Caenorhabditis elegans: one gene and its partner. The protein of the gene in region 2 interacts with the protein of the main gene of each other region in a pairwise test. Each region holds a gene or a part of one and is shown on either strand. Other genes may lie near its edges.

Region 1 (4,323 bases), 4.7 Mb from region 2:
CGCCTCGAAAAGACCTTTCTCCAATGATCGGCCTTCTCGTTCCATTTCTCCGTCCAAAAGTGGGAAGATGGCACCTTGCCAGAAGCTGTAGCATCCATCAACAAGTTTATTTGTTCTTCCCTGGAAACCACCCTCAAATCGCATCTGCCGGCGCGTGGCCCAACGAAGGAGACCTTCCATATCAGCAAGACGGAATCTGGAAATCATCAGGATCAATGATCTTATTTCAAATTCTGAACTAACTTAATTGATATGATTTTATAAGAAAGAACATGTGGTGTTCACGTGATGGTCTGTCTCTTCTCATTTTCAAAGATAACAATAACTGACCTGTTTAACAGAACCAACGAGGCGACCGCGCAGAAAGTGTATCCTCCGTGTGCCTCTGTATACGGTTCTCCTCCGAAACCACCTTCAAAGCTCTGGCAGCTGATAATCCATTCGGCCACACCATTTGATATCTCATCCATAGGTAGGCCCACAATCTCGCATGTTGCTAGTGCACAGTAGGCGCTTCTCATATCGATCTGGAAATGTTCAATTTTCGATAGCTCAGAATTTTTATGATATCTCTGGCAAAAAAAACAACACTAGAGGCAATTCGTAGAGTGTGCAGCAAGGATCCTAAAGTTCTATGCAAGAGTACGTAGAAGTTTCACTCTGAGTAGGACTTCATCAAGTCTATGCAGGAGTTTCAGTACATTTAGAGCTTTTGAACCATTGCCAGAGATATTCATTAATAAATTATTACCTCTCCTCCCTCGTGCATATAAAATCCTCCGCTCTCATGCTTGCACTTCTTCAAAAAATTGAACAGTGTGACTCTGTTGATAGATCGTAGAGCTTCTTCTTTTTGTAGAGACACTAGGCACATGACAGCGGCATACGTTGGAGCCAAATGAGCCAATTGTCCTGGTCCTCCACCATAGCCACCTTCTGGATGTTCACAAGATTTAAGAAAAACAATAATGTTTTCGATAACATCGTTTGGAATTTCTGCGTCCAAAATTTTAAGTGCATTAACTCCCCAGTAGCACATCCATGAACGACTAGCGTCTAAGGTCTAAAAATTGTAATGTTAAAAACCACTTCTCACAAATCAAACTTACTGCGTAGCTCGACGGGCAGTTTTTGAGATATCTGAGCAAATACGAGGCATGTTTCTGACGGAAAATCGTCAATTCGGCGAGATCTTCGTCGCTTGTGGTCTTGAATGGTTCTAACACCAGTGAATTGTAGTTTTCGAAAAGCATTGTTTCAATACGTTTCTGAAATACTCATAATCGTACATGATAATTACATGGCGGGGTTACAAACCTGTTCAGTGCTTGAGTAGGTGAAATTATCATCGTCGTTACACTCATATTTCTCGTTGAACGAACGGAATGGGATCGAAGATGTCATCTCTGTTATAAAATACAATTTTTACAAAAAGAACACATTAGAAAACACACTTCTCTTGGGAAAACCTATCAAAAACATTTTTTTTCGTCGCGAAAATAAAAAAAAATCGGTGTGATAAACAAGGCGCGCGTGTTTAAAACGGAGTGTCGTTGTCCCCGTCTAATTTTTTCTTTTCTCATTTTTCTGAACACTCTTTTCTGATCAGGAATTCTGACGTTTTATCAGTCTGTGATAAAGTTTTTAATCAGTTATTGCAACAAAAACTCTACGAAAATCAGGCGAGTATGCAGAAAGATGATAAAGTTTTCTTGTAAATTAGCTTTTCATTCCATTTAAAATTTAATAACTTTACAATTTTATATTCTTTATTGTTGTTTGCAAATGTGTATTAAATATCTTATTTCTACGTTTTCTTACAAGTATAATTTTGTTTAAACTGAAAAATATTCAGGTAATGTCGAAGTTCCCGGTGCCGTTGAGAACGATTGGTGGGCTTCGTCCCTCGACAACAGCAGCTATTTCTGCCGCCAACATCGGTTTCACACAATCGAGTCGGGCCCTCAGCACCGGAGCTGCCGCCAAAAGCTCAGGACTTGTTGGACAAGTAGCTCGCCAATATCCAAATGCTGCAGCTTTCAGTATTAAACAAGTTCGCCTTTATAGCAGTGGTGAGACTTTTTTCCTATTTATATTTTCCAACTGGTTGTCCACTAATTCCTTTTTTCAGGAAATCTGCCAAAGCACAATCGGGTAGCTCTCCCAGCACTTTCTCCAACTATGGAACTCGGAACTGTTGTAAGCTGGCAGAAAAAAGAAGGAGATCAACTTAGTGAAGGAGATTTGCTCTGCGAGATTGAAACCGATAAGGCCACTATGGGATTCGAAACTCCGGAAGAAGGATATCTTGCCAAGATTCTCATCCAGGAAGGATCGAAGGATGTTCCAATTGGCAAGCTTCTCTGTATTATCGTCGACAACGAGGCTGACGTTGCTGCCTTCAAGGATTTCAAGGACGATGGTGCTTCATCTGGTGGATCCGCTCCAGCAGCCGAGAAAGCTCCAGAGCCAGCAAAACCAGCCGCTTCATCGCAACCATCTCCCCCAGCACAAATGTATCAAGCACCATCAGTTCCAAAGTCCGCACCAATTCCACACTCATCATCGGGAAGAGTTTCTGCTTCACCGTTCGCTAAGAAACTTGCTGCTGAAAATGGCCTTGACTTGAGCGGAGTTTCTGGAAGTGGACCAGGAGGACGTATTCTCGCTTCGGATCTTTCCCAGGCTCCAGCAAAGGGCGCTACTTCAACCACAACTCAAGCCGTATCTGGTCAAGATTATACCGATATTCCACTTTCGAACATGCGTAAGACAATTGCTAAGAGACTCACCGAAAGCAAATCAACGATTCCACATTATTATTTGACCAGCGAAATTCAATTGGATACACTTCTTCAGTGAGTTTTCTTAAATTATTAAAACAATAAACCCGAGTCTTCCTTTCCAAAAATTACCCTTATTCAGGGTTCGTGAAAAGCTCAACGGTCTTCTTGCAAAGGGAACATCGGGACAAGCCACTAAGATCTCAATCAATGACTTTATCATCAAAGCTTCTGCTCTTGCATGTCAACGAGTTCCAGAAGCCAACAGCTATTGGATGGACTCGTTCATTCGTGAGAATCATCACGTCGATGTTTCTGTAGCTGTCAGCACCCCAGCCGGTCTTATTACTCCAATTATCTTCAATGCTCACGCTAAGGGACTCGCCACGATTGCCTCAGAAATTGTAGAATTGGCGCAAAGAGCACGCGAAGGAAAATTGCAGCCTCATGAGTTCCAAGGAGGTACTTTCACCGTCTCGAACCTCGGAATGTTCGGATCTGTATCTGATTTCACCGCGATCATCAACCCACCACAATCATGCATTTTGGCTATCGGAGGAGCATCTGATAAGCTGGTCCCAGACGAGGCTGAAGGGTAAGAGTTTTTAGGAAATTTATCGAGTTATATAGTTTTTGTATTTCAGATATAAGAAGATTAAGACTATGAAGGTAACATTGTCATGCGATCACAGGACTGTTGATGGAGCTGTTGGAGCCGTCTGGCTTCGTCACTTCAAGGAGTTCCTCGAGAAGCCACACACGATGCTTCTCTAAACGATGGCTTTTTCATTGTTTCCCAATTCATCTCACCATCTTCCTCTACCCATTTTGACCCCCGAATTTACTCCGTAAAGTCTCGAAGTGATAGCGTATAACTAGGTCATAATTTTATTATTTCTTTCTTTCTTCACTACAGCCATTTTCGCTTTTATTTTTCTCATTTTTCATGGCATGTTTCCCAGTTAATCGTTTAATTTCTCCGGTAGTATGTGTAAGTGAATTATTAGAAGAAGTTTCCTTTAAAAAATGATTTATTATTTTTGTCTGTCATACAGAAATTTCAGAAACTCGTAGTGTGTTTGGAAAAGCCTAGCGGATCTTTAGTAATAGTGAGCAAAATGTTGAGAGACCCTAGGAAACAATATGCTTCAAGAAACGAATTCAATGACGACGACACAGTCCGCATGTTCTTGCGCAGAACGCCGTTAAGTATTGCTGATGGGATGGTGAAGCACAGAACTGACGCCACTGACTGCATCTTCCTTGAGGATCACGATCAGCGCATTCTGAAGATTCAAAAAGATTCGACAATATCCTAGATCTAGAAACATACGTCCGCCACCGAAAGCCGGCTGTGGCTGCTGGAATACATTTTGCCGCTGAGCAGCAAAACTGTTACTCTGTCCACGTCTTCTTGAAATGAACACATTTTGACGATTAAATGGAGATTGTGGCTGTTGAGCAACAATTCGCTGTCGTGGACGCTGTAAAATTGCAATTATAATATAGATCAGAGAGTAAAAGAAAATATAAAATACCG
Region 2 (3,579 bases):
ACATTTGAAAAACTTGCGGTTTTCTTGTTAGTAAAACATTGGAAAATTGTTGATGTAATTTAAACTCACAATTTCTGCAGGCAAATCGTATATTCCCCAAAATATTTCAAAGCATGCAGTGTACATCATGAGCCATCGATATTTTCCTGTTTGCGCGGGTGACTTGTTCCAGATCAGACATATGAGAATTGAATTGAGAAACAAAGAAATAACGGTGCAAGTCAGTTGGTAAACCATTGTTTCCAGAAATAAACGTCCGAACTGAATTGGGGTACAGACAGATCCAAAATATATATTAGCATAGTTTGACTAGACAATGTCCTTTGAGAATCATTGTCTTTCCAGTAATAAAAACGATTTTTGTGATCACGAGAACGGATGCTTCTGATTTTAAAACTTACTTCCTGGTTAACTTGAAGGAAATAATACAAGTGATCAAAAACTAATTAAACATTTGAATCAAATTTTTCAAACTTATATAAAACCTTTAGAATGGCTTTATCATAATTTCAGAACATATTTCCAAATACTAAAGACTTAAAAGCAAACACATGTCATTGAACCATTTATTCATTCTAAAGTAAGGCATTGAAGTTCAATATATTATTTTCCTTCCGGTTTTGGTTCAGGTGCCGCTGGTTTCGGTGGAGTCTTAGGATCAAGTCTTCTCGGTGGCTCTTTGGGTTCCACTTTCTGAAAAAAAAAACTCTTTCAAAATGTGCTTAAAAATTTCAGAATACCTTGAGCTTGTTTCGATTCTCCTCGTTATCCATACGAATCATGACAGATTTGTGACCATCTTCCAAAATACACGCCTTTCTCTCTCCTTTGCCTTCTTTATTTTTCGTCATTGCACTGGGAACTGGATTTGGAGCAGCCGCACTTTCACAAGATGGAGATTTACGAAGGAAATTGTGAGCTTCAAGCTTACGCATGATACTCTTCACATCAGGTGGGGCCATGACAGATTGAGTGTGCTCTTCATTCATCTCGTTCTGAATATATTTAAATAAATTATCCAAATGTTCTTAAAACCTAACAGTAGCATCCTTCAATGCACTCTCAGTGATTCCTCGTTCAATCAACAACGTGCAAACTTTCTTCTCTTTCAATGCTTTGACAAGAAGTCCTTTGCATTTTGCATTGTCATACACTGGTTCCCCATCAACATCAATGATACGATCAGCCACGTTGAATATTCCACTGACAAGTGAATCTGCAATCAAACTATTGTTCTCTTTTTTTTTGTTTTTAAGTAGCTGTTTCTCCTTCTTCACTTCTTGTCTCAAGTTATTTATTTTAATACTACATAACTTACTCTCTTCAACTTTAATCACATAGATACTCTTGTTGAAGACGTTCTTGATTCCCAATCCAAACTTCGTTCCAGGCTTGTAGTTGATTGTAACAATTGAATACTCGTATCCGGTCTTTCTTTCTTTAATATGTTTCTCTCTTTCTGGCGGAATCGGCACTGAGCCCATAGCGGATTTCTCTTGTTCCTGAGCTTTTTCGGCTGAAACTTTCTCAGGAGCTCTCTCGGCGGATGTCTAAATGCATTTTTACAAAATGTTTCGATCTGGACAACTTACGGTTTTCGGAGCTGGAGGTGGAACTTCTACTTTTGCCTCCTCGTCAGCATTGTTTTGCGGTGCACCTTTTTCCATTTTTTCTAGCGAATTGAGAAATAAATTGTTTAGCAACAACTTTACGTTGAATTACAATAATTGGAAAATTCGTTGCAAAAAATAATATGTGGAAACGTGAACTTATGAATATTTGATAAAATCGTGCCAAATTTAAATTCCATGAAGATTTTTTTCAATGAGTTGTTCTGGAAAGTTACGGAAATTCCGTAATGTAGTGCGTCTACTGTACTTTAGTAGTTTTTCAAAATGAGGACACTTTTAAATTTTCCACAATTCTAGAATGGCGTTAAGAACTTGTACGGCCAATATTTTTTACAAATTGGACAAATTTGACATAATACCAAAAACCCTGCACACCGTGTTATATTTTTTCGCTGATAGCACTCATAAAACCAATTAAACTGATGAAAGAAGTTGTAACACTGTTCGTGCTAACTCATTACTCTATTCTCGGATTTTAAAATAATGTTTTAGAATTTCGATTATCATATTCTTAGGAATTGAAGTTTGTTCCATTGTGAAACTATTGGCAATAACTTCGTGTTTGAGAATATCGTTAAAACACCAATAAAGACGCCAGCAATGTATTTAAACACAACTGGTAATATTTATCTGCTTCCAAATTCAAATTTTTTAATATATTTTTAAATATCCATCAAGTGTTTTTGCCCACTGATAACGAGTGCGCTTTATCTAATAGACTGTGGTCACTCGAAGAGACGCAGATGAATCCTAAGGTCCATCCCTTCGGCAACAAAATGAGACACTTGGAAATAGTTGTCTGTGATCTCCTCGATTTCTATTCTTTCTATTGTTTGCCACATCCCGACGGGGAGGAGATTGAGCTCCCGGGAGAAGTTGACGAAAGATGTCTCACTACCTCCCACAAGAAAGAGGGAGAGAACCATGTTTTTTCTTCACGCTAAGCTTTTCGCGCCTCAAAAAAAACGATGTTATAGAGAACACCATGATGGGGATTCGGTTTCACTGTTTTGTTCTGATCCGTTCCTTTCTATCCAAAAAATGTTCCGGATACTTCTTGAATCTCAGATTTCTCCTCATTGTATTTTTAGGATTAGTGTTCTTTTGTTGAAGTTTTGTCAGTTTCCATAGTTGTTTTATAATCTGGCTATAAAAGCTCCTTTTTTTCCATAAAATCGAAAACGGCGTATGGTAAACCATAACATTTTGAACATTCTGTAAATGTCAACTTTAAAAATGAAATTGGTATAAAATACTCAAAATCGTCCAAAATCCTGAAACATTACAAAAGTGGGAAATAATTTTTAAAAATCCACAGAAAACGGAATTTCCGCCCATTTTGAAACCATTCAACGAAAATGGGCTGAATGAACATCACTGATTCATTCACATGTAGGGTCTGCTGATTGATCTTAGAGTTTTTCAGGAGTAGATTGAATCAGAGAAGTTAGCTTAATTTCTTTGTTTTCTCATGATATTTTAGAATTTTAGACAACTTCGTTTCTTGAAGAAAGACTGCTTCACAGTATTTCATATTAAAATCGTGTATCTCTTTATTGTCTTGAATATTGTTTTAAGATTGTCTTGCGCTTTCACTATATGTCTATCGCCACTTACGTATTTTTTCTCCTCGACCCATCACAATATATCATTCATTTATCTTCACACAGATCAATTCTATTATTACCCACCAATCAGCCGGACTTCGTTCTTCTTTTAACCTCAATGGAGAGAACGTCCAGTTTACGACGGAAGACGAGTGATGGTGTCCTGGCAAAAGCATCAAACTTCGGCCAGATGCTCGAAGATGTAAGATTGTAGTAGCATGTGATGTGGATTTAAATTCTCAGTTTTAAGGTCAGAAAGTTAGCATTGAGCAAGTCGTTGTGGGACGATGAAATGCAGAGAGATTTGCCAAAGAAATGGGAAAAGCATGGAGATATGATTG

What was found.
Region 1: the proteins of F40F9.3 (region 2) and dlat-1 interact in a two-hybrid assay, tested with the Caenorhabditis elegans proteins (one large-scale study listed by BioGRID).

Annotation. Positions count from the first base shown.
Region 1 is NC_003283.11:14,444,823-14,449,145, reverse strand, and holds dlat-1 (Dihydrolipoyllysine-residue acetyltransferase component of pyruvate dehydrogenase complex, mitochondrial), read left to right. Parts: upstream 1-1,855; 5' UTR 1,856-1,858; coding exon 1,859-2,072; intron 2,073-2,131; coding exon 2,132-2,858; intron 2,859-2,925; coding exon 2,926-3,378; intron 3,379-3,427; coding exon 3,428-3,557; 3' UTR 3,558-3,823; downstream 3,824-4,323. Other genes in the region: fntb-1 (Protein farnesyltransferase subunit beta), read right to left, coding at 1-196, 331-527, 752-1,063, 1,110-1,268, 1,318-1,404; F23B12.4 (ShKT domain-containing protein), read right to left, coding at 3,945-4,069, 4,117-4,267, 4,322-4,323. UniProt on the Caenorhabditis elegans protein: The pyruvate dehydrogenase complex catalyzes the overall conversion of pyruvate to acetyl-CoA and CO(2).
Region 2 is NC_003283.11:9,713,355-9,716,933, reverse strand, and holds F40F9.3 (PDZ domain-containing protein), read right to left. Parts: upstream 1,726-3,579; 5' UTR 1,668-1,725; coding exon 1,593-1,667; intron 1,551-1,592; coding exon 1,319-1,550; intron 1,217-1,318; coding exon 1,041-1,216; intron 996-1,040; coding exon 741-995; intron 694-740; coding exon 604-693; 3' UTR 553-603; downstream 1-552. Other genes in the region: str-188 (Seven TM Receptor), read right to left, coding at 70-237; F40F9.10 (tRNA(Phe) (4-demethylwyosine(37)-C(7)) aminocarboxypropyltransferase), read left to right, coding at 3,357-3,440, 3,489-3,579.